Linked DNA regions of Arabidopsis thaliana. The protein of the gene in region 1 interacts with the protein of each later gene in a pairwise test. Each region holds a gene or a part of one and is shown on either strand. Other genes may lie near its edges. The genes, in order: ERG28, AT1G16170, AT3G28220 and LPAT2.

What was found.
Region 2: the proteins of ERG28 (region 1) and AT1G16170 interact in a protein complementation assay, tested with the Arabidopsis thaliana proteins (one large-scale study listed by BioGRID).
Region 3: the proteins of ERG28 (region 1) and AT3G28220 interact in a protein complementation assay, tested with the Arabidopsis thaliana proteins (one large-scale study listed by BioGRID).
Region 4: the proteins of ERG28 (region 1) and LPAT2 interact in a protein complementation assay, tested with the Arabidopsis thaliana proteins (one large-scale study listed by BioGRID).

What each region holds. Positions count from the first base shown.
Region 1 is NC_003070.9:3,271,947-3,279,280, forward strand, and holds ERG28 (ergosterol biosynthesis protein), read left to right. Parts: upstream 1-1,806; 5' UTR 1,807-2,025; coding exon 2,026-2,140; intron 2,141-3,307; coding exon 3,308-3,514; intron 3,515-3,617; coding exon 3,618-3,685; 3' UTR 3,686-4,007; downstream 4,008-7,334. Other genes in the region: AT1G10040 (alpha/beta-Hydrolases superfamily protein), read right to left, coding at 4,162-4,233, 4,316-4,413, 4,491-4,620, 4,711-4,763, 4,906-4,961, 5,055-5,215, 5,386-5,640, 5,819-5,889 and 2 more; AT1G10050 (glycosyl hydrolase family 10 protein / carbohydrate-binding domain-containing protein), read left to right, coding at 7,129-7,210, 7,310-7,334.
Region 2 is NC_003070.9:5,536,622-5,543,010, forward strand, and holds AT1G16170 (ephrin-A3 protein), read right to left. Parts: upstream 3,382-6,389; 5' UTR 2,946-3,381; intron 2,553-2,945; 5' UTR 2,532-2,552; coding exon 2,253-2,531; 3' UTR 2,045-2,252; downstream 1-2,044. Other genes in the region: WAKL5 (wall associated kinase-like 5), read left to right, coding at 1-243, 320-442, 528-1,648; AT1G16180 (Serinc-domain containing serine and sphingolipid biosynthesis protein), read left to right, coding at 4,284-4,467, 4,542-4,781, 4,863-4,974, 5,054-5,228, 5,327-5,567, 5,763-6,049.
Region 3 is NC_003074.8:10,520,743-10,528,721, reverse strand, and holds AT3G28220 (TRAF-like family protein), read right to left. Parts: upstream 4,542-7,979; 5' UTR 4,303-4,541; coding exon 3,962-4,302; intron 3,865-3,961; coding exon 3,692-3,864; intron 3,521-3,691; coding exon 3,238-3,520; intron 2,634-3,237; coding exon 2,476-2,633; intron 2,383-2,475; coding exon 2,225-2,382; 3' UTR 1,989-2,224; downstream 1-1,988. Other genes in the region: AT3G28223 (F-box family protein), read left to right, coding at 1-167, 245-1,053; AT3G28216 (uncharacterized protein), read left to right, coding at 5,298-5,444; PMZ (zinc finger (AN1-like) family protein), read right to left, coding at 7,499-7,951.
Region 4 is NC_003074.8:21,344,859-21,353,695, reverse strand, and holds LPAT2 (lysophosphatidyl acyltransferase 2), read right to left. Parts: upstream 4,314-8,837; 5' UTR 3,946-4,313; coding exon 3,868-3,945; intron 3,501-3,867; coding exon 3,378-3,500; intron 3,269-3,377; coding exon 3,229-3,268; intron 3,115-3,228; coding exon 3,041-3,114; intron 2,746-3,040; coding exon 2,686-2,745; intron 2,466-2,685; coding exon 2,388-2,465; intron 2,228-2,387; coding exon 2,069-2,227; intron 1,863-2,068; coding exon 1,737-1,862; intron 1,494-1,736; coding exon 1,401-1,493; intron 1,269-1,400; coding exon 1,182-1,268; intron 1,109-1,181; coding exon 857-1,108; 3' UTR 503-856; downstream 1-502. Other genes in the region: AT3G57640 (Protein kinase superfamily protein), read left to right, coding at 7,705-8,775. UniProt on the Arabidopsis thaliana protein: Converts lysophosphatidic acid (LPA) into phosphatidic acid by incorporating acyl moiety at the 2 position. Has preference for C-18-CoA substrates compared to C-16-CoA substrates. Required for female but not male gametophyte development.

The DNA.
Region 1 (7,334 bases):
AGGAAGCAGTCGTCTTCTTGGTCTTTCTGTGTATGTCTCTGGTTTTTAAGTGGAGACAAACAAGCAAGCACAATTTACATTTTTCCCATTTTTGCATTCCCTCCTTTCGTTTGCTGTATTTTCCTAAATTGTCCAATTCGCCTTTATTATACCACAACTTTAATATTGGTACCAAACCTTTTTAATTTTGTTCTTTAATCCCCTTTTTCATTAATATAGACGGTTAAGCTACATCCACCGATGAAAAAATCATTTGAATAATTTTTAATTACATTCTATAACTATAAGTCATGTTGTAAAGAGTTTGTTATTAGAGCATGAATATTCCATTATTCTCTCATAAAAAAAGAATTAAATGAGAAAATTTGTCCCTAATTCTTTTTTATTTCAAGTAGCCCCCTAAATTGTGGCTAAACATCCGGTAATCGTAACAATGATGTAGATTGGGTAACTCTCTGCTCGAATGTGACGCTTATTTTGGCAAATAATGTTTCTTTGGTAAACATTTGAAAGTTTTTAAACAATTTGTTTTGAGTATTTAAAATACGTACGGATAAAGGGTAAATCCGAAATTTAGAGTTAGTTGAGGGCTGGTAGAGAAAATTAAAAGACATTGGAGCACAGCTGGGAACAGGCTGGCGAAGAAGTGCCAGGTCGGAGAGAGGTTGACGTAATTTTCTTTTGTTTGGTTTCTCTCTCTACCTGATAAGTGACCAACCACACAAAAACATAGGGCTCCACTTCTTTGAAGTTTACGAAATTACCCTTGATGCTTACGTGTACATTCGAGGCTCTGATTAGTGCCTTGATCGGGGAGAATCTTTCCGCCTCTATGCGGAACTCACGTTTTCGTGTCAGTCTCATAGTTTTCTGGTTTTTCCTTAACACACATTTTATTCAGATTAAGAGATTTCTTTTTTCTTCTGTTAAATTTATTTTATTTTTAGTTCCGTTTCATAATTGGCGTAGCTAGTTTCCAATGTATTTGCTAACAGTGATGAAAGATGAACACTACGAAACATTTAAATTTTCTTCATGTGCATGAGTTTTGGAATGATAAACTTCCTAACATTATTTACACCATAGTGAAGTGTTCTTGGTTATTTTCCACAAAGTATTCTTGAATTGTCTTTGGTTATTAATAGCCATCGGTCTAACTTTTCTACATTCACCTAGAAACAAAAGTTTGATCAAATAAGGAAACAAACACTTTTTAGAGCCACAAAACTTTTCTACATTTGTGTACAGTATGAAATTAGTAAGGTGTTTTAAAGTTTCGAGGAACCGTCATTTAAAAATGACATCAAATAGTCACCTTTTCTTCTACTGCAAAGGTAAACTCACCACTCTATTCGCTCTGAGAATGCAGCTTCTGTATTATATAGAATACAAAATTTCTAAATTAAGAAATTAAATAATGCGTGCGAGTCAATAAAATAAAAATAAAGTAGAATTCTTTGGGGATTGGGCGAGAGATATGCGTGCACGTTTACGACAACTTAGATTCAATTTCTTTTTTATATAGTAGTAGTATTTGTTTAGATAAGTAGCTGAACGAGGATCGTGGATGATAGCTGTATTTTTTCTGCTTTTTTTGTTTTTTAATGACATTCATTTATAGAGGATGAAGGAAATGTCTTCTTCTTGCCTCAGCAACACAAAATTACGTAAACCATATTTTTGTTTTTACAGTAGTAACTGTAGAGAAGTCCATCAGAATATTACAGAAGCCCAATTGAAAAGCCCATTTGAAACCCACTGAATTAAATAATAATCGAATTCGGCGGAGACTCCAACTATTGTCGGCCCATCAAACAGTTTCTCCGGTGGTTTGAGAACTAACTGAAATGTACGAAATTAACCTCCGTGGCTTACGTGTTCTGATCGGGGAATCTTTCCGCCGAATCTGAGTTTACGTTTTTTTTTGGTGTCAGTCTCATAGTTTTCTGGTTTTAAAACGGAAAATATATGCGTTAGGGTATTGTTGGATAACGAGGAAGGAGTAAACGAAGGAAGAAGAGGGAGATGAAGGCGTTGGGGTATTGGTTAATGGTGGTTGGTTCACTGAGACTAGCTTCTGTTTGGTTTGGTTTCTTCAACATTTGGGCTCTTCGTCTCGCTGTCTTCTCTCAGACCACCAGTTCAGTTCTCCCTTTTTAATCTCTATTTTAAATTGTTCTTGATTTGATAGTGTGTTAGCTCCAACGATTTAAATGGGTGATGTTCACATAGAAACTATAGATAACTTCAGATTTTCTTCTATCAATTGACTTCCTTGGTCTCTGAGCTAGTATCTGTGAGTTAGTATCTATGGAGGGCACGTGAATTGGTTGTTTCAATGAGAAATGATAATGTCAGGTTCAGAGGAACCATTCTTGTGGAAATTTAACAATTTGTGTCTGTGATTTGAGTCTTCCAATAAGGATCGAATTTGGGATCCCTAAGCTTTGAGATCTAGAAAGATAGTGAGGAATTAGAATATTGTTTTGTTTTCCTGGATTTGATCTTGATTCTTGCTAGTAGTAGTAGTACATTGCATATGGAAAGTCAATGGTTTATGAATCTTGTAGTCAACTTTGAGGTTTTAAGAAGGAAAGCCGGATTAGGATTCGTTGAACATATTCATGATGCTCTTTCTACTTGCTCTTATGTGTTCTTTTAATTGTCAAGTTGAGGTAGTTGGGATTGAAAGCAACACTCATGAATTAGTACACCATAAGTATAGCAAACTGAAGCAACGTATCCAAGAAAGATATAGGCAAATCTTGTATGTTGTACAGTTCCTTGGTGAAGTAACTTTTTTAATAAGTGGACGGCCATGTCCTAGATATCAGGAAAGGGAAGAGTATTTGGATCGAGAATTGGGTGGGAATGATAAGAGTTTACATACTCCAATGCATAACCTTTTTTTGTGGGATCTTTGTAAAGTTTTTTCTTAAAGTACTGTTGAAGTAAATTAGTGATCAGGTGAAGTGAATAAGATTTTGTATATGTATTAAAACATAAGCAACTTGAAGTTTCTTTTTTCCTTTCTGTAACTTGTGGTGCATGGAACATTGTTTTTTTTCTTCCTGTGATTGCAAAAGGTCTTGTACATGTTTTGTTCATCAGTTCTGATAACACAAGGACTAATAACTTTGCATCATCTAAGCTACATGAGAACCGGGAACACAAAAGATTTATCTAGACAAAACTAGTTCACATAGTTGATGTCTCTATTACTTAGGTTATCTCAGGCAATGGGGCCTTCTCGGTTCACAAGAGTCCTGTACTCATTACTTGAATCTTTTTATTACCTGTTTTGCAGTGAGTGAAGTTCATGGACGTACATTCGGAGTATGGACACTCTTGACCTGCACTCTCTGCTTTCTTTGTGCATTCAACCTCGAAAACAAACCATTATACTTGGCTACGTTTCTATCATTTATCTATGCGTTAGGCCATTTTCTGACTGAATACCTCTTTTACCAAACAATGACCATCGCGAATCTCTCAACTGTGGGCTTCTTTGCAGGTATAATTTGAGGCATTGACCATCACTCACTCTTGTATTGAATCAGTTGATGTAGGTTGCATTCATATTGTGAATGATCTATATAATGTGTTCTCTATAACAGGTACATCGATTGTGTGGATGCTCTTGGAGTGGAATTCCCTTGAACAACCACACTCCAAACTTTCTTGATGTTAGTCCACATCTATGTTTCTAAGTCTCTCGTCTTATAAGCTTTTCTAAAAGTGGGAATCATCTGAGTTTTTGCTCGATCCCTAAAGCTGTTGATTCATTGTTTCATCTAAATCTTACGACATCTTTGATGGAGTCTTGAACTATGAGAATATCATAAATTCATGGATTATATGGTTTCTTTTTAAGTGTTGTTTATTGCTTTTAAAACAGAGATTTGAGTTTAGTGTATGGTTGATAGTCAACGAACAGGGAAACTATTTCTTGCGTTCCCTTTTTTATTTGTTTGTATCCAAAATGATTCTATTTTCCATTTTCCCGGTAACTGAGAACAGCTAACAAAACAGATAAACCTACTAATAGTGTATAGTAACATTACTAGATGACAGAATTGTGATAATATGACTAATGTATTTCCCCTAGTGAATTTAACTTGTGAAGGAGCTTGCCATCTTCCGTTATCTCACAAGTCACACCTATGGCTCAAAATTGTCAATCATGTGTTGTATAACATCTGCTCCAGCTGAATTGATCATCTTTGTTTTCACCTGTAATGTTTTCCAAATGTGAGTATGAAGTTTAATAACAGTAGCAATGGTGATGATGATGGCGACAATGATGAACACTTGCCTGAATGGTATTGTGAGCGAGAAATCTTTGCAGCGTTCCTCTGAAACTAACATCAACTCGTTCCCAGCTCAGTTTTGTTAATTCTCTTATCATCTCCTCTGCATAAGTTTGTTGTATTATGATGACTAGAAATCAAGAATAAGAAACACGAGAATGAGTTTTCCACTGAACCAACCTTCCATATCTAAGTTCTTGAACCTGTCTGCTTTGGTCCTTGAATGATCTTCCTCATAGTTACTTGCAGTATCCGGTGCTTCAACATTCACAATGTGAGGATACTTCTCATTGACTGGACCACGTTGAAGCTGCGAAGGTTATATCATTATATGTGAGACTTGATTCAGCATAACATACACAGCATTATCTTATTAAACACTGAAAGTGAAAGGTTTAACCTTAGGAAGCTCATTGTGACGCCGGATAGACGATGTACTCCACCCAACAAGGTCTAAGAACAAAGGAGGTCAAGGTTTCAAATGAATTGTAATAGCCACAACAGTTCTGAGTCTTTTTTTTAAGCTCAATTCACATTGTCCGATCAGTGAAGAAGTAGAGAATTAGTTTAAAGACGTCCAACAAAGAAAGGATACGGTCGAAACTTGTATTCGCGTAAGCAATACGCCGTTTGAAGCATTGCAAAGCAGAACTGTTCACAAAAGCAGAGGAGACATTAGAAATCATTTGAACTACGCAAAAGCCTCAATCAGCTATATATAGAAAAATCATTGAAGGAACTCACATGAATTTAAGATCTCTAGAATCTTTAACCATCCGGAGGAGTAATGGAGGCTTTCCACCATCACTATCAGCCAGAAAAAGATGTTTTCCCGTTTTACCAAGACAACCCGACATACGCGTAGCTAATCTCTCCAAAGTGTAAGATCCAGAAAACAATGGGACCTAATGCAGTCAAAATGCCACACCATTAACCAAATTGTAACTTTTCATGTTGCAAAATTCCACAAACTGTATCAACTATCAAGCTTACAGGAGAATGAGGCATAAAAGGATCTCAACTTTGCTGTAAACATATTGACAGCTTCAATGTAAGAAAACCGTTTTCAAATCACCTGTTTATGTCCTCTTGAACCAAGGTGTGGTGTTGCAGAAGTTATAAAATACACAGGCTCTAATCCAGCGATTCTTGCTTTCGGTTCCTCTATCGAGCATTTATCACCAATGTCGTCACTATTATGTGGAAGCTCTTCTCGGGATTCTTGCTCATAAAGACGCCCAATAGCATACCTAGCAATCAGGCCACCTAAAGAATGTCCTACAAAGGAAATCTTCTGAAGACTTGGGTGACGTTTGATCACCGACCTAACCTAAACAAAAGAGATTAAGAATATCACTTGAGCTGGAAAACTCAAGCAGAGACAAAGATAGAAACTTCTACATAAAAGGTTCTAGCATTGCGAAAACATCTAGCCAAGCGGAAGACAATATAACATTAGATAGAAACAACGCTGAAATATAAGCAGCCTAAAGATAAGAAACACAAACCTCTTCAGCTAATCTTTCTCCCATAACATCAACACCATCAAATGTCTGTGTGGAATGGTTGCGTTTACTGCCTGCAAAATGATTATAAAGTATCACAAGCCATTATTTAAAAACTATTATAAAAATCCAGTAAAGTGAGATCAAAATATCTAAAGTGTGATTCTTTCTTCCTTCCAATAATCAATCTGTTTCACTTGAGACTTCCAATCACAAATTTACTATAGACCATTAGGAGGAAACTCTGTTTTAATTGAAAAAATATAGAGAAAGAAGAACTCACAGTGAACGAGGAGATCCTGAGGATACTTCTTAAGCATCTGCTTAGCGGCGAATCTCCAATTCTGAGCACTGTACCCACACACAAAATTTAAAATCAGCTTAAAATAGAACAAAATCAAGCACATAACATAGGAAACACTAAGAACCTGCCGATGAGACCGTTGACCATGACGACTAGGTGAGTCGGCTCAGTGCGTTCGCCAGGGAAATCAACAGTCAAATCGACGTTTCCACTTTCGTCTGATTCAGCTCTGAGACAACCCATCCAATACTTTTTCTTCTTCTTCTTCGTCTCTTTATCATCACTCTTCCTGCTTCTCATCTTCTTCATCTTCTTTGGCTTACGGATTCCTTCAAGATCACTTCCAACACGCCCATCTCCTTCTGTATTCTTAGGAATCACGCTATCTTCTTCCTCCATGATCACGAAACGAAGAATGAAAAATGGAAACTTTATGCAGGTGTTAATTCAAGGTCGCCACTTTGGGAAGATTCGAAGGTCTCGCGTAGGTTTTTATAGACTTCAAACATCAAAAGTTCAAATGGTCAGAGAGAAACAGAGAATAGTTTCAGTCGTTAGGGAAAGTCCCCACAGAAGTATTTGTTGTCGTCGTTGAAACGCCATTGACATTTTCTTTCTTACACATCTGAGATTTGGACACTGTTGCTTTTTCTAGAACACAACACATGTTATATAAAGTCATTAACTTGATTAAATGAGCCAAAAATGTGATTTGGCATAAGTTAAAAAGCATATTCAGACATGATGATGATAATTAAGATTATTTTTATATAATAACTTTAAAAGACAGGCCCGGCCCATTTAATGTCAAAGATTGGATCCAAGTTTTGCCCAGAGAAAAGGAAGCTTCATGAATCATGAGTTTGTTTCTTCTTCTGGAAGAGTCAAACAACAATTTTGACTTTTTTATCAGCAACCACAACGTCGAAAGCACGACATGAATCATTAAAAAAAAAAAAAAAAACCGACGAGATTTTTGTACCTTTCTTCTCCGAAGTGTTGCTGATTGATGTCTGTTGGATTTCTCTTTCTTCAACTAATCACCTTTCTGTGTCCTCTCGCTTCTCTCTTCTCTTCTTTCCCATTCAAAGGTGAGATTTTTAATTTGACTTTTTTTTTTTGGGTTGACCCATTTCGAATTTTTATCATCTACTGGTTAATGTTGTTGATTTGATTATATCCGAATTTAGTACAGGCTAAGCTCATGGCGGATCT
Region 2 (6,389 bases), 2.3 Mb from region 1:
TTACTATACCAGAACAGTTCCATGCTGGTGGCTACGTGGTGGTAGAGCTAGGTTGGTACTTTGCTACTACGGATTCACGCTTTAGGAACCCCTTGGGTTGTATAAATCTGACATATTCGGGATCTTACTTATCCGGTGATAGTTGCCTTTGCGAGTATGGTTACTTTTCCGAAATGAGTTATAGGAACTGCTATTGCTCCCTTGGCTTCACAGGGAATCCATACCTTAGAGGAGGTTGCATTGGTAAGTGTTTGTTTCCTCTTCTTTTTTCGTTGAGAATAAATCAGATCATTAATACTGATAATTGATATATATGCAGACAATGATGATTGCAAAGGACCTAATATCTGTGAAGAAGGCACTTGTGTGAACGTGCCTGGAGGCTATAGATGCGATCCCAAGCCCAAGATAATCAAGCCGGCCAAACCCCTCGTGCTACAAGGTGAGTTCCAATGGCACCTTGCATCTACCATCCTTTAAGGTAGAGCAGAAAACAGTGTTATTTATGTTTTTTCTTGTTATTGCAGGGGTTCTTTTAGGTTTAATGGGACTATTGTTCTTAGTTGTTGGGACGCTTGGGTTGATTATATTTATAAAAAAGAGAAGGAGGATCATCAGTAGCAGGAAGTTCTTCAAACGTAATGGAGGCTTGTTGTTAAAACAACAACTAACTACTACAAATGACGGTAATGTAGACATGTCAAGGCTATTTAGCTCAGAAGAGTTGAAGAAAGCCACCGATAACTTTAGCGTGAAGAGGGTGCTTGGGAAAGGCAGTCAAGGAACTGTGTATAAGGGGATGATGGTGGATGGCAAGATCATTGCGGTTAAAAGATCAAAAGTTGTCGATGAAGATAAGCTCGAAAAGTTCATCAATGAGATCATCCTTCTTTCACAGATTAACCATAGGAATATTGTGAAACTAATAGGATGTTGCTTGGAAACAGAGGTTCCGATCTTGGTTTACGAATATATTCCCAATGGAGATATGTTCAAGCGCCTTCATGATGAATCCGACGATTATGCGATGACTTGGGAAGTGCGTCTTCGCATAGCCATAGAGATCGCGGGAGCTCTAACATACATGCACTCAGCTGCATCATTTCCAATATACCACAGAGATATCAAGACTACCAATATCCTATTGGATGAAAAATACGGAGCTAAGGTTTCTGATTTCGGAACATCAAGATCGGTAACCATTGATCAAACTCACCTGACAACAATGGTTGCAGGAACTTTTGGGTACATGGATCCAGAGTACTTCCTATCAAGCCAATATACTGACAAGAGCGATGTTTATAGTTTCGGGGTTGTCCTGGTAGAGCTCATAACTGGAGAAAAACCGTTGTCCCGAATTCGTTCTGAGGAAGGAAGGGGGTTGGCAACTCATTTCCTCGAGGCCATGAAAGAAAACAGAGTGATTGACATCATTGATATTCGGATCAAAGAAGAAAGCAAGCTTGACCAACTGATGGCAGTGGCGAAACTCGCTCGAAAGTGTCTTAGCCGGAAAGGGATTAAAAGACCAAACATGAGAGAGGCTTCACTCGAGCTGGAGAGGATCCGTTCATCACCTGAAGATTTAGAGGCCCATATTGAAAATGATGATGAAGAGGACCAAGTCATGGAGATCAGCAGAGAATGATTCTGGAAGCGTGTACAAGAATATTTCAGCCTTTATGTAATGTATATGGTGACAAGAAAATCAATAAGATCACTCGGCAGCAAGTCATCCATCTTTAGCCACAAAGTGTATTTGAAATTCGAAGTTAACATGTACTTTTGAAAATGAAGTGTGGACTTTTGGTGTGACTTGAATGTATTATTTGATGACTGGAAAAACTTACTTGTCTAGGAGTCAACGATGTGTCAGAAAATGTTTGACTTCAAGCATTATGGTTTCAGTTTCAGAGTCTCGACCTGTGTAGGTAGTAGAAGTTATATCCCGCTGCTATCATCATTCCGCTGGTAAGAATTCCCAAATATACAGAAACGCATGAGCTCTAATAAGAGCGCCTAATAGAGGCTTGACATACAACCGGAGGTGACGATCCGACTCAAAACAGTGCACATGTATACTCTCATCTCATCTGATGAAATAAAGTTATCTTTCAATTATGAATCTCTGGTTTTATTTCACCATGTAATAATACACACAAATTGCATTATAGAATAAAGAAGAAAAAGAATGTTTTAGTACAAGAACAATAAATGTGGGGGTTTCAAACTTTCACCGATAGATAAACAGTCTAGAAGAATTTAAGTTTCCCTTTGGAGAGAGCTTGAACAAGTTGTAATTGACACATTGCCTTGTCTTTCCCGGTCAAGCCATAGCAGGACGAGTGCCTAGCGCCTAAAGTGACTGCAAAGTAAAGATAAACAGTACAGAGGAAAGCCAAAAGAGCCAAAGCTGTTAAGAGATATTGATGCCTCTGAATAAGAGTCGACCAGCTACCCAACTCGTCCCACTGCTTCTTTAGACATTGTTGTCTCCTTGACGGTGAAGATACAAGCCCATCAAGAACCATGGCTTTATAATACCAATTAACCTGCAAAAATTGACACACAAGTCGTTTTAACACAATTTTACAAGAAACATAAACATGCTATGAAAAGGAGATCATCACAATCAGATTGAATGTAACATTTGGGAGATCACTTTTCCATCATAAACCATCATAAATGTCAATGAGAAACAAGAATTCGAGACACATATCGCTGTTTTGATTGGTTGTGGAAACGACATTAGTCATAATTATAATTACAAAAGAGCTTGGATCGTATACGAAAGATGAAAATGAAAGCAACAAATTGCCAACAATAACGTCATTCTCAATCAATCATCAATCACAATACACAACAACAACAACTCGCGATCGATGCACATTGGATAATCGAGGGAAACAGATCCGAAGTAGGTGAAAGATTATTAGAAAACGAACCGGTGAGAATCGGTTTAGAGATCTGGAGAAGAAAAAGCTAGATTCCAGCTCCGTCGACAACCCCCGAAATCTTCAGCAGTGTTGTTGCGATATGGAGAGAGAGAGAGAGATGGATCTCCTCCGTAGATTGATGATGGCTCGAGCTGGGCCGATTTGCCGGATACGCCGTACGCGGCTTATTATGTCCGTTACATAAAACGGGAATTTAGGGATTTTATATACAAAACAATAAAAAGATAAAAAATAGGAAAGAAGATATATAAAGAGGACAAAAAAATGATGATGCGTTGTTTGTTAGCTTCCACTCCTTTGTGTTTTGAAGATGATGGGCATGTTGTTAGAATCCGATGATGAGTGATGACATTTACCTAGGACTATGATCTGACTCTTGCAGCTTCCAGAGGGCATTTACGAATACGTATTAAGATAAACTTTTTTAATCATTAACGAGAAGACAACTCATGTTCTAGTAATCACGATAATGTTTAGTACTTTTGTATATTGTATTTGTATGACAGTATGAGGTGTTCAATATTTTGGTTTGCTTCCAACTAAACTAAAAGTCTAAAATACATTGTTTTAGTTGCACTGAAATCCTAATAGACTGAGTTGCCGTTGCCGTGAATCACTTTAGCCGGTTAGCATTTAGCATCCAAACCAAAACTATTTACCCCCAATAGCCTAGAGTTTTTTTTTTATAACTTTTTTCTTTTTCTTTGTAAGGAGACTTGCAAGGTTTTAGTAGAGGTCTATCTTAATCAAAAGCCCATGCATGATAAACAGAAGGAGAAATTAAAATAATTTGGGCCATTAGTGGGCCAAACATGAAAACTTGGTATTGATGGTTTACTAGTTCCTTTGTAAGTTGGTCAAAAGTCCGAAATCAGGAGCGAGATAATAAAGAAACAACGAGTTGTTTTACTTTTCAAGGAGAGGATAGCTCAAGGTTTTTGATCGATCGCAAGGTATTTTGATTCTCTCTTTCTCAAGCGATTTTCGTTTTCCTTCTTTTGTTCCAGAGGTCAAATTCAATCCCTAAAGCTAGGTTTCTCGGGTGAAGCTTTAGATCGGGAGCTATGATTTCATCTCGAATTTGGGGATAAATTTCAGCTTATTTTAACCAATTTCAATTGATTCCAAATAATTCTGTTTATCTCTGAGCAAAATTGATTAATTTTCGATTCGGTCTTTAAAAAGCTGCTTTTCTTACCGTCTCCATCCGAAATTAGTTTTTTTTGTTTGTTTGATGATTTGTGTTTTGATGATTTGTGTTTGCGTTTTGGTTGATACTAGCAGCTGAATATTGAATCCAACCTTTAATCTGAGAGGAGAAAGAAGATGTTTGCAGCTTCTTGTCTCGCATCGTGTTGTGCTGCTTGTGCCTGCGATGCTTGCCGTACTGTGGTTTCTGGGATCAGCAGACGTTCTGCTAGAATTGCTTACTGTGGTCTCTTTGCACTTTCCTTAATCGTTTCATGGATTCTCCGTGAAGTTGCTGCTCCTCTCATGGAGAAGCTCCCTTGTAAGTTTTTTTGTTATTATACTTCTCGTGAGATTATTTTGGTGTATGCAACTAATCATTGACATTGTGTGCAGGGATTAACCATTTTCACAAGACACCTGATCGTGAATGGTTTGAGACTGATGCTGTGTTGCGTGTCAGCTTAGGGAATTTCTTGTTTTTCTCTATTCTATCGGTTATGATGATCGGTGTGAAAAATCAGAAAGACCCTCGTGATGGTATACACCATGGTGGTTGGATGATGAAAATAATCTGTTGGTGCATTTTAGTCATCTTTATGTTCTTCCTTCCAAATGAAATCATCAGTTTCTATGGTAAGTTTCTGTTTATCATTGCAAAGTGATTAGTGAATCGATTAACTTGGAACTAATGGGAATCAATTTTACATCTTGCAGAGTCGATGTCAAAGTTTGGTGCTGGATTTTTCCTGCTTGTTCAAGTTGTACTTCTTTTGGATTTTGTTCATGGATGGAATGACACATGGGTTGGCTACGACGAGCAGTTCTGGTTAGTAAATATATTTGCAATTAAATCATGTGACTTCATTATCCCACTACTAATCTAAGTACTTGACTTTTATATATAGGTATGCTGCTTTGCTCGTTGTTTCTCTTGTATGTTACTTGGCAACATTCGTCTTCTCTGGGTTTCTCTTCCACTGGTTTACTCCATCTGGACATGATTGTGGACTCAACACCTTCTTCATTATCATGACTTTGATATTTGTATTCGTCTTTGCCATTGTAGTTTTGCATCCTACTGTAAGTTTTGACTGAAACCTTATATTTCTCTTATCTGAGATCTTATTTGATTCCCAATTTCAGGCTCACTGAAGTCAAATTAACCTATTCTTTTGCAGGTCGGTGGAAGCATTTTACCAGCATCGGTTATATCTCTGTACTGCATGTACCTCTGTTACAGTGGACTTGCAAGTGAACCCCGGGATTACGAGTGCAATGGTCTCCACAATCACTCTAAAGCTGTTTCAACAGGCACAATGACCATTGGCTTACTCACAACTGTTCTCTCGGTTGTTTATTCTGCTGTTCGTGCTGGTTCTTCCACTACTCTTCTCTCCCCTCCTGATTCTCCTCGCGCAGGTATGTTTCTGACAAAAAAAACCTTCTCCTATACTTTGCCTCCTTATATTGCAAGATAAGGATTCATTCGGAAACTCGAATCAAACCTGAACTGAAACATATATTCTAAATCCCTATATTGAAACCTTGTTGTGTGAGTGTTTGAGAGTTGCTTCTAAGTATCATAACGTATTTCCTTTCAATGAAAATTTTCAGAGAAGCCTCTGCTTCCGATAGACGGGAAAGCAGAAGAGAAGGAAGAGAAAGAGAATAAAAAACCAGTTTCATACTCATACGCATTCTTCCACATCATCTTCTCCCTTGCGAGCATGTACTCTGCAATGCTCCTAACCGGCTGGTCAACTTCAGTTGGTGAAAGTGGTAAGCTGGTGGATGTCGGGTGGCCTTCAGTGTGGGTCCGTGTTGTGACCAGCTGGGCCACTGCTGGTCTCTTCATCTGGTCCCTTGTTGCTCCCATTCTCTTCCCCGACCGTGAGTTCTGAGCTAATGCATCTACTTGAGATTCTGAATAACTTTTCATGAATCTTCAATTTGTAAAAAAATATTCGATCTTTCTACTATAATAGAACATCGTGTGCTTAATCACGAATGGCCTTTGTTGGCCCTTCTGTAATATGAAGATGATATAAATAAATTCCTTTCTCGTAATTTTCATCTGTCTCGACTTCTCCACAATTGCGTTTTGCCCGATTCGCGTTTGTGTTTTGTTTGGTCAAAACGGTGGCGCAAGGCTGGTATGAATGAATTCTGATTAAATTATCATATGTTAAACGTACCGATCATTGTTATGATTATTATACTGGTAAGGTAGTAAACCGGAAA
Region 3 (7,979 bases), on another chromosome or scaffold:
GTGCAGAGAAACTCATAAAGAAGTCATTGCTCACTACAGATGCGACACTTGGGGACTTACACAATCTTTAGGCTCTTACATCTCTTCTTTCCTAACACACAAATTCGGAATCCACAAGGAAAAGGTTACTGTCGAGGCTTACACTGATGTAGGATTGATTTTGGTTAGTTTGAAACAGACCTACTATGTTGCTAATCCAATTTCACGACAATGTGACCTCCTCTTCCTCGTCTGCCTCGAAGAGCTGATATATACAAACCTTCTGGACTTGCAACACGAATAGAAAACGGCGTCGTTTTAGGTTACAAAGTTGTTCTGATGAAAGATACCACCGATACCGACGACATTAGCTTACTCATATATTCATCTGAGACAGGCCTATGGAGTTTCAACACTGTCCAATCTCCTTATCTTTTGAAGCGTGTTGCTTGGTTCAATCCTGTTAGCTTGAATGGAAACCTTTACTGGCTTTGCTACAACAACTATCGTGATCACCTTGTTGTATCCCACAATTTATATGCTACTGGTACGGAATCTGATCAATGCAGAGTTATAGAGTTCCCTCATCTAGAAAACGATGTGTATTTTAGAAGAGCTTTCACAACATCCCAAGGATCTCTTATGTATATGAAAATTATCAATGAAGAAAAAGATGATGGAAGTTTAGGGCTTAAGTTATGTGTATGGAGGTTAAAGAGTGGGAAATGGGAAATAGTATCTGAAATATCTCCGGCTTGTATCAAGAGTGGTTTAGATTACTTTCCGTTGGCAATAAACCCTTTTGATGCTAATAAAATGTATTTGTGGAGTGAGATGCATAAATGTTTAGTATCTACTAGCTTGCTCAAAGGCAAGTTTCGGCGTCACAAGAAGTTGGAATATAGTAGCGATGGTCGCATTATGAGCTTTGCTGGAGACTGGAGCCCGTTTGAACACCTCTTTAACCCATGTTTCTCCAGGTTTGCTCTCCCGCATTGGCTGCATCGGATCCCTTCCTCGCCTCCAACCGACAAGCTTCGAATGCGAATAAGATTACGGAAAAGGGCAACTTAACAAAGTAAGCAGTAATTACTCAAACTGTTATGTTTCTGATATTATTTACCTTTCTTCTCTATACATGTTTAGAATCGTTTTGGCTGAGGATTTGTAGCTTAACTTTTATGTAAATCTTGTCGTAGGGCTTAACATCAGCGGCTTATATTTTTTATTTTTATTTTGTCTACAATTTTTTTATGAGATTTTGATAACACTAGAGATTGTAGGAAGAGCAAAACTTTTTTATTAACCTAAACTTCTTTAGGATAGTTAAGGAATCTTGAATTGTCTATTTGGACGTAAAGTTAAAACCATCCAGAGTTGGAGCTCCCTTCTTTAGTTTCCTTTAGGATAATCAATAAGTGTTCTGTTTCCAAATGAATGGTTTTAGAATCAATGTGTCTTTGTGACTTGTGATGCAAGCAAAGAGCCAAAAACTGTGTGGATAGGGTTGGATTTTCCTCTTTGATTTGCTACGTACGTTTTGTCATCTCCCTTCCAAGCCTTCATCAACTAGTAGAGAGTATTTTCTTTGCTTCTTATTTATTTCCTAAAAGGAACGAGTTGTATTAGATATTGGTAATTTTGATTTGCTTATTGATGATTGTTAAAAATACAATGAAAGAAGAGTATGGATTGGTTACATAGCTTAATTTACATAGAGTATACATGGCAGATATATTATACATTATGAATTGCTTGGTAGATCTATATGTATTATATACACTACATAACCAGAGAAATAATAGAGTAACAAACAGATGAAAGAGAGCAAATAACAAAGAAGCACTCGTGAAACTTAAGAACATGATCGATGTTTATTGTTGGTGCGCAAAGCTTGTTATTATTTCAAATTACTATCATACGCGCAAACTTATTCGGTTGATTTTAGAAGTGTTATTCCACGGTTAGTGTTAGTCTTAGTCGCAGCTAGAATGAAGTAAGAACAAGAGTTTTTCAATGGTAAATTAAGACTGCTTTTATTCTTAGTTTTCATTTATTTAAATAGGAAACAAGTACAAGAAAAGCTAGCTTGGAATCAACGATTTCTACAAACTAGGGAATTGGGAAAAGTGGGAGATAGGCTCCTAAACCTTAGGAAGACCAATCCTCCAATTATTAGCACAAAAACACTTAAAAAACAGAACACAATTGGTTCCAAGCTCTCTGGTTTTGCATTATGCAAAACTTAACTTGGAAAGTATTTTGTGTTAGAGAAATCTTCAAATTCAATCTCCATCTTCAATGTATCATTCACAAGAAGACCTTTAGAAGTATCCTTAAGATCAGCAAATGGTACAAACTTCTGGAATCCCCAACTGTTTGCTTGATCCGACCAGCTTTCAACTGTCATTAAGTTAGTGTTAATTAAACTCTAAAAGAAAAAAATTAATAGAGTAAGTAACATTAGCCACACTATTATGGTTCGATATAATTTACCTTTCTTCTCCATGTGTTTAGAATCTCTCTGGTTTATAATCCGTAGCTTAGCTTTTAGGTAAATCTTGTCATACGGCTTAACATCAACCGCAACAACATATAACGACAACGAGTTACCCTGTCCTTCGCCATCGCCACTTGGATACACTTTCAAAGCCCTAAGAGTTGTATATTAAAATATTGTAAATAGTTAATTTTTTCTTGAATCAGTATTAGTAAGCCTGCGCAAATAAACCTAATCGAATGTACCGAACTAAAATCGAAACAAAATAACAGAATCGAACGGAATCAAAAATTAAAAAATAATCAAATGGATACTAAATTCTATATATAACCGAAAGAACCGAAAGAACCGAAACTAAATGGCTACGTACCAAAATATCCCGGATAACCAAAATATCTGAAATATAAATATATTTCCAAAAATATTAGTTATTTTTAAACTAAATAATTAAAAATATTAGTTATTTTTAAACTAAATAATTAAAAATATATATAAAATAGTTAAAATATTCAAAAATAATCAAAAATATCCAAAAATAACCGAAATATCCAAAAATAATTAAAATATCCGAAAATATTCAAATCAAAATAACGGAATGGATACTAAATTTAAAACCGAAAGAACCAAACCGAAATTTCAAAATAACCAAATAGATAATAACTTTAGAACCGAAAAAACCGATAACGGAATGGATAACCGAACATCCAGGACTAAGTATCAATATGTGGCTTAAAGAATTTATGACATGAGGAACTCACCAGCTTCTCCCACCGATCACGAACTTGTCAGAGACATAGTACTGTTTCTCTAGTGACGAGAAATTGGGTAACGTCCATTTGTAAAGGCGGTCATGCAAACTCTTAGTGAATGAGAACACTTCCCATTTGTTAAAAACTTCAGTGACAAATACGTCCACACCGAATAAAACATTGTCACCGTCGAAAAGCCAACCAGCATTGGGATTAGCCACGTCGGTGTAGGGTCTAACATTACCATATCCCCAATATGGTTTGAACAGAAAAAAGCGTTTTGCATCCGTCTCTGTGTACCAAGACATGCGTTTGAGATTGTGTGTTTTTAAATGCAAATTTTGGCATTTGAAACTATGCAAACTATCAGCGTCTCAATTGTTTTAAATTTAAACGTTGAAAATTTGATTAATACAATATAGTTTATAAATAAGATATAAATAGGGCGTTCGGATGTATATACCTTGATATGTTAAGTACTTGTCCTCTTTCCGGTTATAAATGAAGAATTTGACTTCTGCGTAAACTTCTTTTGGAGAGTTAAGGAGTGTTGAATTGTCTATTTGGACGTACATTGAAACGTAATTAAGTGGAGCTCCTTCCTTAATGTTTCCTTTAGGATAGACAATAAGTGTCCTGTTTGCAAAAGGATATATAGTCTTACAATCAAATGTGTCGTTGAAAATTTGTGATGCAAAGACATATGCAAAATGTAGGATAAAATACTACTTACCAGTTGTATCCACCGGATTCAAAAGGACGGGATTCGTACTTCTCGGCGTTTGGAGAAGTGGCGAATTTTATGAAAGATTCGATTTTGAGACAATAGGTAGATGGTGGGATAACTCTCCATATTTCTCTCCTATCAGATAGCTTATGGGAGGACATTGGGCTATCGATAACGGCAATGGATGATGTTGTTGTTGTTGAAGGTTGTGTTGTTACGATTTTCATGAATTGGAATGCAAAGAAACAAGAAATGAAGCAAGCCAAGCCAATTGCTCCATAGTTTGTCTTTCTCTTCTCCTCTTGAAACATGTGGTCTTCTTTTTTTATCAACCCCTTTTCAGACATGTTTGGTTAAGTGACTGAATTGGTAAGTGTGACGGTTATAATTTATAAGCAAATGACTGGAATATGTAATGGAGTTAGTTAGATATATTTATCTACACACCAAAAAGGTGAGTTAGTTATATATGTATGATGAGTACCAACATTTATTTGGTATTTAGCTTTTTTTGTTTGGTATAAAGAGTTCTTCACCACAAATATTTATAGCGGAGGATCTTTTGTGCGTTCGATAAAAGTGATAATGTTATTATGAACAAGTTATATATTCACGTGTCTTGAGATTTCACGTCGGTATAAGATGGATTGCGACCAGATAAGATTTCTTGAGTTATCGACCAGAAAAGATTTGTTCAACACGTGTTTTCAAGAAAAAGACAAAAGTTTAAGTTGTACCTAAATTTAGCATGTAACGTCAAACACTCCAGACATAGCTTTAGCTAACAACAAGAAATGGACCCAAACGCTCTACACCACAACATAGTTTTGTTCTTCTGTTCCGATCCTAGCCTCTGTTTTTGGATTTAGCTTTAGCTTTAGCTATAATGTAGAACTTCAGTAATCAATACAAAGACTAAAAACTATATTTTATTATATACGTATCAAAACTATCGATTAAATGCTTAATAATTAATTTTTAAAAAATGTTTTTATTTGTAGAAAATATTTTTTATTAATTTATAGTATAATATATAATAATATTTGAGTTTTTATTTTATAAATATCTAGAATTTATAATAAATAAATTATTAGGAATGACCTTCCAATGCTACTCATTTTTAATTCTACCCTTTCATGTAATTCATTTTCATTACTCTCTTTTAATTTTTAATAACCATATATCCTTATTTTTTTAATGTTTAAAGTTAACAAAATAAAATTGTGTTTTTCCTACCAACAATATTTCGACGATAATTTTTTCGCCAAAAATAGTTTTTTTTGTTTGTACAGACGGTAATGTTTTTACATATGATGGAGGCCAGATTCACACACTTGTGTGCATGCAAGAAAATTTTTTTAATAACATGATGGAGTCGGTGGGATTGTCTTTGTTTGGGCAAAGGATACGGTATAAGCTTCCTTTTGAGAAGTTTATAGAGCTGAACCGTTGTATACTAGAGATGATATTTTCGAGAGAATGTGTCTAGCTGCAAAGTGGACAAAAGCGGTTGTTATATTTACGGAGAAGGAATAGATTCTTGAAGAATGTAATGATGAAAAGAGCTTGTGAAAACGTCAATGGTGAGAATGCTCGAGTTTGTGATGATGGAAATGATGTTAGAGGAGGTGATGATGAGAATGACATTTTTAATGTTGGAATCCAAGCTAAAAGTCGGCCACAAAACAACTTGGTGAAGGTCTGATACGTTCATGAGAAGTTGGCACGTGTGAGAACTGAAGTGAGAGATCGGAGTCACGTGTGAAGAAACTTATAAATAGTAAGAGTCTAAGAGAGAGTAGAGAGAAAAGCATCCTTCGTGATCATATTGATGTTGTGAGTAGAATTAGGGCTTATGCATGTGCTCTGTTCTTAGGAGATAAGATTGGAGAACTGTAACTTCAAGCTTATCGATTAGGGTTTTGATTCTTTGTAATTGGATTGATAGATAAGAAATACAAAGGATTACACTTTCATTCTTATCAAGGTCCGAATCAAGTATCACAAATTTCACTTAGTGATTAATTGTGTAAAAGCTTTTGGTTTGGGAAACTTATGATGTTCAGGATGATGGTTTTAATTTGGATTATCGGATTTATGTGTAACATGATGGGATGATGGTTTTGACTATGATCTCGGCTTCAAGATATAGATTATGGTTTTTGGCTATTTGTCTTGAATTTTTAATTTGTAGGATAATGGTTTTTGTCTTGTAATTGCCTCGGGTTTGGTATGTTATATACAACATTATTATGTTATTTATTCATTACTTTTGTGGAGAAAAGAGTGATAGAGATTGCTTGGTAAGAAAATAAACAGACACAGAAATTGGTAACCGAGTTCACGGCCTCAACCGCTACGTCTCGGGGTCTCGGGGGAGATCTCTTGCTCCCAAGCTTCACTAACTTGTGATGATGTCTTTTGGTTTTACAGATTTGCACTCAAGAAGAACAAAGATTCAAGAACAACAAAGAGGAAGAAGAAAGCTTGTTTAGGAAGCTCTTTTATCTCTCTTCTCTAGAACTCTTTTTAGATTCTTTTCTCACCTACCTCCACTATACGTCGTACGTTGTAATGCATATATAGGTGACTTAAATGAGCAACAAACTTTTGCCCACATTTTGTTCTTCTTCACCTTGCCAATTTCGTTGGCCCATTAAGGCCCAATGTTTGTGTTATGTAAAACCCAAACAACAACTTTCAATTGAAACTCAAACTCAATCCAATAAAATACAATCAGAACTCTTAACTCAACAAACTCATACTAACTTTTCATACTTAAAAGATGAAAACATAGACTACAAACCATAACTAAACTACACCCGATAAAATTTTTGAAGTAACGTCGAGATTGAATCTCTTTCTTACTACAAAAGTTCATGGCTTTGAGCTCTCCAATCTCCTTCTCACATCCTTTTAAAAATGCTTTGATGACTTCAATCTCATTTCCATAGCTACTTGATATGGTCACACATGTGCGTGTCTCACCTGCTAGACTCTCCATCTCAGCTCCCACATCATATAAACCTTTCTCTAAGGATCACACATCTACTTGTGTCTTGTAAACAACACTCTCAACCTCTTCCATCTCTTCAACCATAGCTATATCGGTCCATTTGAAACAAATGTCGATTAGCGTACAGCAAAATTGAGTATTATGTTAATGATATTAATCACATATTCTCTTTTGTTCACAAATCGATTTCAGCATTACCTCATTTAAGCCATACGAACAACAATTCAATCTTTGGGTTCTTCAATGTATATGCAATCTAGATTACAGACACTGCACCACATTTACATTTTCTAAGTAGTCTTCTTACTGAGTATTGGAACCGACCCAAAAAATTGGACCCAAAACCGAATCTAAAAATTTAGAAGAAACTTCCCAATGAAGTTAATATTAATAAAAACATTCTTCTTCCTTCTCTTACGAAATATTACTCATGAAAATATTAATCTTCTTTCTTGCAAACAATGGAAAATACATGAGAACATAAAGAAGGAATTGGTTGATGCAAACTATTGTTACAAGAGAAGAAACTAAAACGATCTAACTGATGGTGAAGATTTTGATGAAACAGAGCTCCCTCTTCCACACCCTTTCTGGTTTCTTAAACTCAAAGCTTCCATAAACCTCTCGTTCCACCTCGAGCTTGTTCCCGCGGTATTAATGATCTTCTTGTTACAGACATGATCTGTCGGAAACCGGTGTTTCAAACAGAACTTGACTCCACAATATTTGCAAGTAAGGTTATTCGCAAAAGTCAGAATCTCTTTGCAACGTTTTACAGGACACGTTGGTTTCTTTTTCTTGTTTGGATCACAATCTCCGGATCTTTCGTGTTTCTCAAGCAAAGATTTGATTCCTTTTTCATCAAAACCAGTTGTTTCAATCGCTATTGAACATGTTTCACAGATGGAAACCGTTCTGCTCCCATGATCGGATTTCGGACAGTTATGTGACTTGTATGATCTATGCTCCAAACAAAACACCTTCACACACAAAACTTCTCAATCAAGA
Region 4 (8,837 bases), on another chromosome or scaffold:
AGTGTTTCAGCAAGAACGGAGACAATTAGGGTTTATCAATTGATACAAGTCGGGACTTTAATCGGAGTTTGAAAACAGAGAGAAAAGCGGCGCGAGCAACCGGACTTGTGAAGGTTTTTTTTTTCTTTTGAATCGGCGTGAAAGGGTTTTAGTTTTAGGGTTGAGAAAACTAAAATAAAAATTGTGTTTATTATATTATACACTCATTAAAAAAAAAAAAATGTGTTCTATCAAAAATGGAAGAAAATAAAACCTGTTCTTTTACGATATTCTCCCTGTAATCACCGTCATACTGTAGTTGAATTTGTCTAATCTCAGTTAATTCCATGAACGGGTTTCTGTTTTTTCTTCTCAAAATGAATTTTTTTTTGTCTAATCACAATTAAGTCCCAGTAGGATTAGTCTAGTCAGATAATTTATGTACATGAATAAATTCTGTTTTTTCTTCTAAAACGTCTTGTAATAACATGTTTTGTGCCTAATAAATTCTACACTAGCAATGAGAACCAAGGAACAAAACAGTTTAATAATAAAAGGAAAATGTCTAATATCAATCCCAAATTCCAATCTAAAAATAGAAAGTTATACAAGGCCTATGCACTTGAGAAAAAAAATCCCAAGGGACTATAGGGATTAAATCGTTGATTTGATCATGACCCTATACATCAATCGACTAAGAGACATAGGCTGCGTAGTAGTAGTAGTAGTAATATAGTAGCTGAACAAAACGGAGTTGATAATATTAAGGGATTTTTCATTTGGATGTCTTTTTTTTTTGGTTTTCTGTTTCTTATAACAAAACTGACACGCGCTTCTTCTTGTTGTGTTTGATGTTTGGATCTGTGAGAACCAGTTTTTACTTCTCCTTCTCCGTTTCTGTTTGGGAGGATGATTCTGGGTGGTGATTGTCTTTTGGCTTGGCTGGGACGACTTTGGCTGGGGTCGAACGCTCTGACTGAGACGAGCGTATCAGGATCTGCATACAGAGAGTGATGATACCTAGACCAAGCGCCGATATCGTGATACCTTTCCATGAAGAAAAGAGTTGTGCCCAGTGTAGGAACTTTATTGCTCCAAGAGTTAGTACGCATGCCCATGATAGAACCACCTGAGAAAAAGATCAAGAGATTTGTGAGTTTATAGATGGAACCAAGAGAATGTTATGAATTTTATAGACTCACCGCAAGGGACTTTATGGGACGGCCAATGTTCTGTTCTTGTTGACCGGGGAAAGTGTCTGCAGCTATGTGTTTGTCTAACAGAGCATCCTGTATCACAGAGACGAGATGAGAGAATACCAAAATGAAAGCTTTTCCAAGCTTTTCTCTATCAAATCTTGACCAAATATATTATTGCCAATAACTGAAACGTGGAAATACCAGTACATCCATAATTTTTACCTTAGCCACAAACTGATCTCTGCACCACTGTGCAATTGCGTCATCTGATTCAGGTAAGTCTTTCATCGAGTGACACTTGATGTGAACATGCACCTTGAAACCAGCAGCAATGGTTTGCGTTAATGGCGCAGGAGGTTTTAAAAGAAAAAGGCTTGGGATGGGATGAGTCCTACGGTTTCTTACACATTATAAAAGTAAAGGTGATATAAAGAGTTATGTTCGTTTCAGTAAATTGGATGGTGATGTGATCCAAGCCAGTGCATACTTTGAAATTTGTTGTGAGAAGAGTGCAAGATTCAACTGCTATACGACCTATTCATATTTTTGCTTGCTTACCACTGAAGGTTGTCCTTTGAATAGTCTTAGCATCGTGGGTGGTGGAGAGGTTTTTGGAATAGTCACTGTCATATCATAAATTGCTGGGACAAATGAACGCATATTACTAACAGCTGACACGAAACCCTGAAACAAAAATACAAGCAAGTCTAGTAATTAGGGCAGAAATCACAATAACAACCACCAAGTCGATCTGATGAAAATGAAACGTATAAAGGCTACCCATGCATTGAGATTTTGGATCATCATAGCAATCATTTTGCTTTTTAAAGGACACAGAGAAGATATCAAGTTGCCCCAGGAATGAACAAAAGAAAAATATTACAACTTACTTTGGTGCGAGGAATCAACACATTTCGAGGGATAGGCAATTCAGAGGAGGCTGCATACTCTTGTGCGGCTTTAAGTTTGGCTTCTGTAAAGCGAGTTCCCTCCACAAAAAGGGCTAACCAGAAAGGTCGAGGGAAGTCGCTCAAGCGCTGAAGACCTGACTGTAAATTTAGACAAACACACATAACTCATGGTCTGGAAATGAAGATTCTGCATTTTTAGGCTAATCCCCTCATGAACGAGGTAGCTGCACGTGCTAATAAGCATTTTACACAGGAGCAAAAACTAAATGAGTTGCACAAGGATACTATAAACCCATACCTTTAGAGTGCTTTCATCCTTGGCCCAATTTCTTTCCAGAAAGAGATACTCCGAGAACCACATTGACCAGCCTATGACCTGTATGTGTGTGAAAATTCTGTTTATGAGTACTATGAATATGTAACAGATAAAAAAGGCGGAGAAGTGTATTAACCTAAAACAATGATTTTTTCTCAAACGCAAAGCCAGGTATCAAATTTCTAACTTATAGAAGAGATTCAGAAATAGAATTAAAGATTACTACTATTTTCTCTCAAATCTAGCAAGCACACAGCAGTAAGCTAAAATATTCACATACTGGAAGGAATTTGGAAGACTTCTTCATTACAGCTAATGCGCTTCCCAGGCAACCTGACCGCTGCAAGGAAAGAAAATATGAAACAATAGATTAAAAGATGTAAACAGCATAACAGGGAGCGTGTTAAGAGAAAATATGATGATGCTATACTCTCTCATATCTCATCAGATGATCACTAGGGACTGTCACCTTCTACCTAAGATAATCTTTCTTAAGTAGATACTTGGAAGCAATACATGGTCCCATTGCAAGTATACATGCTTTCTCATCAAGAAGTCTATTATGTTGATCTCCATTTATGCATTCAAACAAAAACGTAGGAAGATAGATGAAACTGTGAGGTGAAATTATGTACCTGAGCCAGAATCCATCCCACAAGCCAATCAATATCACTTCGGTGATTACAAACGACAAGAGCATGTTCTTTGCCTAGAAAAAAATAGTAGGACAGTCAATGAAGTTACAGATTCGTTCTTACATAGGAATTTTATATCTTGAAGACATCAGAAACTGATTTGATTGCCAATAAGCATATGAACTTACCCATTCGATTGAAGGTCTCATTATCAGCAAACACTTGGATCTAAGGGAAAAGAAACAAGAAATTTGAGAGGAACTCATAGAGTTAGATAAGATAAAACAAAATCCAAGCTTAACAACCATTTAGTAAAAAGGAGAAAGCTTGTGGATACCTTAACTCCAGCCCACCAGTCAACTATCCATACAAGCTCCAACCACAAGGTTTCTGCAACCACCCGGTTAATTTTTCTGTATGTGTTCTTAGACAGTGGTCGAATGAGTACATAGCAAACTGCCTGAAACAACAATATGTAGTAGTAAACATCAAAACTGAAGCAAACGAAGTTGAGAGAAAAAAAGATTCCTTCCTCGATTCAATCAACATAGAAATCAAGATAAATCTGAAGAAAGTGATACTTAATCGCAGAATCAAACAACACTCTATAGCTCAGTGCATGAGCTCCACGAGTCAATTTCGAGCTTATACTCTCATATGCACACTCAGAATTAAGACACAATCACCGACAAAAACGAAAGAATCAAAGTTTCTGGAGAAGGAAACCCTAAAAGCAGTGAATCAAAACAAAAGAAGAAAGGATCTACAATGTAGAACAACAACGGAATCTAAAAAGAGTAACACCAGAAACGAATCAGAAACCAAACCTGAAAGAGATTGACAGCGAGACCAGATATGAAGAAGAGAAGGCCCAAAGGCACGATGACAGCTGCAGCAATCACCATCCTCAAAAAATCCCACCAACAAAAGCTAATGTGAGGAGAGAGTACAAAGAAGAAAACCCAACAAATCGTTCCCCGAGATTTCCAGAAACCAATGAAGAAATATTTTACCCCAGATTTCAAGACAAGTTGCAGAAGTTTTTTAAAAGGGGAAAATAAATAACCCAACCAGAAAAAAAGAGAAAAAAAATCGCAAAATTAACTTTGCGATTTAATGGGAAAATTTTGAGAAGAGTGTTTGTAACTCTGGATTTTTATTGATTGATTGATTATATACGGAGATGATCACGAGGACACATTCGAACACGGCAGAAGCGTTTTTTCTTGTTATTTTGATTTTAGCCCCTCTATTTGTTTTCATACTTCAAAACATCTCCTATCTCTTCGACTTGGTTGGATTGGCCAACTTTGAAGTTTTGAACTATGCAATCAATGGGCAAGGAAAAAAAAAACGTCTGTCGGAAATTGATCGGTATACACTACCAAGATGTGATTACTCCTAATTTTTTAAGTTAGGATTAATTCCCTTTGCATGTGGTAAAAAGTGCTAGCTGGACTTTCCAATTAATTATAATGTTTGTATGGTAAGCTTATATATGGAAATGTAACGTCCAAATATTTCAAATCAACAGATTTATTTCAGGTGAATCCAAAAAAATTGTTACATAATTCTTAACACTCATAGACGACCACCAAAATGGTTTTACTTTTACCAATAAAATGGCCTAGTGGCGGATCTTAGAACCTTAAAGAGAATGTAATTGGAGAAAGGATTAATGTGTTACCCATACCGCTTAATATATATCCTTATTAGTCTGATATGCTACTTGTCACTAACATCGAATCCTTTGTTCATGTCTGGCCCTAGTCTGAAGGTGACTAATATACTAATATTACCGTGGATGTTTAAGTGCTCCACTTTGTTCCATATGTTTTCAATTTTTCCGTTCAATTCTTCCTCTTTTTGCTATTCTCTAGCCGATGCCTTTTGTTTTTTTGCTTGTAAATTAAAGCATGACGTCTTTGTGATTCTATTCACATGGTTTGGTATGGTTCTGATTGTTTATGTGCGGTGTAAAGTATGAGAGTCTTTCATGGTTTGTATAAATATAAACTAAATGATATTTAAGTGCACGTTTGATTCTTTAGTATTCTAATATCGAAATTTCATTTCAGTAAAGTTCAAACATTTTTTAATTTTTTTGTTATTAAATATTTGAAGTTACAAAAGTATTGTTGAAGTGGTTGATCTATCTAACCAAATTTTCTTTAAATATAATGAAGAATCAAAACAAACTAAAGAACAAGTTCATCATCTAGTTATTTTCAGCTGTACTATGCTCACCGCTTTATTCAGATTCTCCAATAAATTTTGCAGCAAAGTGGAAAAGATAACAAAAAAAACAAATAAGGGTTGTTGAGTTTTTAGTTACAATTTTCCCTACGTAAGATCATTTGCCTTAATTCACGTAACATAGCCACATGCTATCATTTCTATGTGATTGTACATATTCATAACAAATAGTTGACTGCCAGACAAAATATGTTAGAAACGTATGCATACACCTTTTTTCTTTTTACAACAATATATATGCATACACTTGACGCATCCTTAAACATATTATGATTTTTCTTTCTTTTTGTCAATGTGGACTAAATTATCCAATTTGAAAAAGAACAATGGGAATCGAACCTGAAATACTGAGGCGCCAACATTTTTACTTATAATTTTAAAAATGATTTATGTAAAACATTGCTTGTAAGTTTTAACTATAGTCTCAAAATGACACCAGAAATTATAGTTAGTAATTGCTCTGTTTTTAATTACTTTTTTCTCGGTTAGAGACTAAATCACTTATTTTGCAGATATTTTTTTGCATTGTATAACCAAACAAAAAATTTAGTTTTGTTCTAGTCTCCTAAATTGTAGCAAAGAACCAGTGGAACAATGACAAACAAAAAAAAAACAGAGAAAGCCTTAGCTTCCTAACTAGTTTTCAGGTGATGTAGAAAGAACTATGAAATTAGTCCGCAAGTCTTGTTGTGAGCTTTTTCTTGGAAGGACGACTTTGTGGGATATTCAACAACGACAGCTTGACTTTATATCTTAGCTAGTGTTCTTCGTTTTGATCAACTGAGAGTGTGTGAGGTCTTCAAGTTTTGTCATTTTATTTTTCAAAGTTAAGTGTTTCTCGATTAGTTGAGGAATAAGATATCAAGAGCTAGAGGGGGGAGATGCTGTTAGAAGATCTCATCGAACGTTGCAATGAATATAACTGAGGAGATTGCAACTGCTTTAGCTTATTTTCACACTGTTTTCCAATTCTCAAACCCTATTTCGATCTCTAAAGTGATGTCTGAATCCACTTGAGTTCCTTAAGCTACTACGATCATCTTTGGCTTGTCTTCATCTTTCTTCTCAGTGATAGTATACGCACACGCTTCCAGCGGCAATCTTTAACTAACAAAACCCATGGAAACATTGATATAACGTAAACAGGAGTCGTTTCTGCTTACATGATTCATAAACATAGCATCATGCTGATTGAGAATTCTGCAAATTATCCATCAAACTGTAGATCGCAGATGAGACACACATGACGCAGAGACAATGCCAATGCCATTTTGGCTTCAGTCTGAAACATTACCATTCAGATTTTTGCCAGAGACAAGCAAAAGTTCATATATTTACTTCACAGATTTTTACTTGTCGTATATTTTGGATGTTTTGGACTTTGAATGATAAAGAATCCTACATCATTTTAAAAACTAAACATCAAAAGTGACTAAAATTTTAAAAGTTTCACTTCTAGTTTGGCGGGTTGAGCCAGGCCCGTGCAGTAGTGCAACGCATGGGCGACTCGTGGAAGCCCAGATAGCAAGCTATCATAGCGGGCTTTCTCCCTTAAAAGATAGAGTTAATATCGTGTGAGCCGATGGCCCACATATCAGATATTAAACTGATAAGAACAGATACTACACTTGATCTTAGCCAAAAGGCCGAGAAAGGTATGATTAGAACGAATGGCTCAGCTTCTTATTTATACTACAAAGCTTATGACCAACGATCCCTAGCTTGTCGATGTGGGACTTTTAAAAAAGGGTTTAGCCAAATGTACTCTTTAGTCTTCTCTTACGCATATTTCTTCTTTAATCAATTACATATGAACTATCAATACAAAACAATGAATAAATTTGTCTTTTAATGCATCTTTGTTCTCTGTGTTCGTTGCCACTGATCACAGTCTGTGATTCACAGAACTATGTAAACCCAGAAGAAGAAAGATGGAAACTTGAGAAAGAATCTTCAAAGCAAAAACGGAGGAACTTTTTCTGCTCTGTGAATTGATGCACTGATGCTCTGACTCATATAGAATTGCGTTAAACATGGCTTCATCAATATAAGGATCCGAACTATCAATATAGTAAATCAGTTTCTCTCTTCTCTTCCAAAACGTTTATGTCTTTATACTTAAAACATAAGAGGGAGTAACGTTTCTCTGTGCTTGTCTTGAAACAGAGGAGAGTATAAGAGAGAGTAAGGGAGCTGAACAGACAAAGAGGTGAAGAATTTTCAACAACTTTTGTCTTCTTCTGCTCTAAAAGATAAACCTTTTCCAACGAAGTCTTACTCCTTAATGGTGTTTCGTTGACTTCACGTTACAACTTTTCAACACGGTGTGTGGTCTTCAACTCGTCATTCAATCTTTGGTCATTTTATCCTCAAAAGTAAAAGAAACTTTTTTTTCGTTGTTGTTTGAGATGGAGTGGTGGAAGAAGAAGAGTTTACGAGCCATAATTAAAAGGGAGAGATTGGTCCGAGGACACGAGAGAGGTGGGACATTGCTAGAAGAGATCATCAAATCTTGCAATGGCAAAGCAAATCCCATCAAAATATTCTCCGCTGATCAAATCCTAGAAGCCACCGACACTTTCAGCGAATCCAATCGTGTTTCTGAACTATTCGATGAGATTCCATACGATTGGTATTATTCAGGTAAAAACAATAACCATCATCATCATCATAAACTGTTACTCATCAAGAAATGGAGATATAGATTTAGTGAGCATAACGGAGGAAACTTTTGCCGTGACATAGCCATCTCATCGATTGTTAGTGGTCATAAAAACTTCATGCAATTGGTTGGATGTTGTCTTGAATCTGAACATCCAGTTTTGGTTTATCGTGCATCAAAGAAACCTACTAGTTTAGATCTGAAAATGGTTGTGTCATGGAGACAAAGATTGAAAATAGCAGAGGAGATTGCAACTGCTTTAGCTTATCTTCACACTGCGTTTCCAAGACCTTTCGTATATAGGATTCTGCGTTTAGAAGATATCTTATTGGATGATGAAGATGGTGTTGCTAAGTTGTGTAACTTCTCCTACTGTGTCTCTATTCCACAAGGAGAAACATTTGTGAAGCTTGGTAATGGTTGTATAGGTGGAGATTATGATTACATGGATGATAATTATTTGATTAATGGTATTGTCTCGGAGAAAACTGATGCGTTTGGATTTGGTATTTTTATGCAAAAGCTTCTGATGGGAGAAGAGAGATTTCATGAGCTTTGTTATGATCGGAGTGACTTGACAACTTTTGAAAACAGAAGAAAGTTTGCAAAATGCATTGATGAGATTGTCGATTCAAACATGTTAGAGAAAATAGGTGATGTTACAGAAGAAGAGCGTTGTCGAATGGAAGCTTTCATTGTCCTCTCGGAAAGATGCATTGGTCTTAGAGGGGAAGTTCCAAAAATGGTTGAAGTTGCCAAAGAACTAAAAAGATTCCTTAGAGATTCTTCTTCTTCTTGTGGTGAAACAAGTTTATAGATTACATATCACATACTTGTTATAGATTATATAAATGGTTTAAAAACAGATTTTCAAGGTTT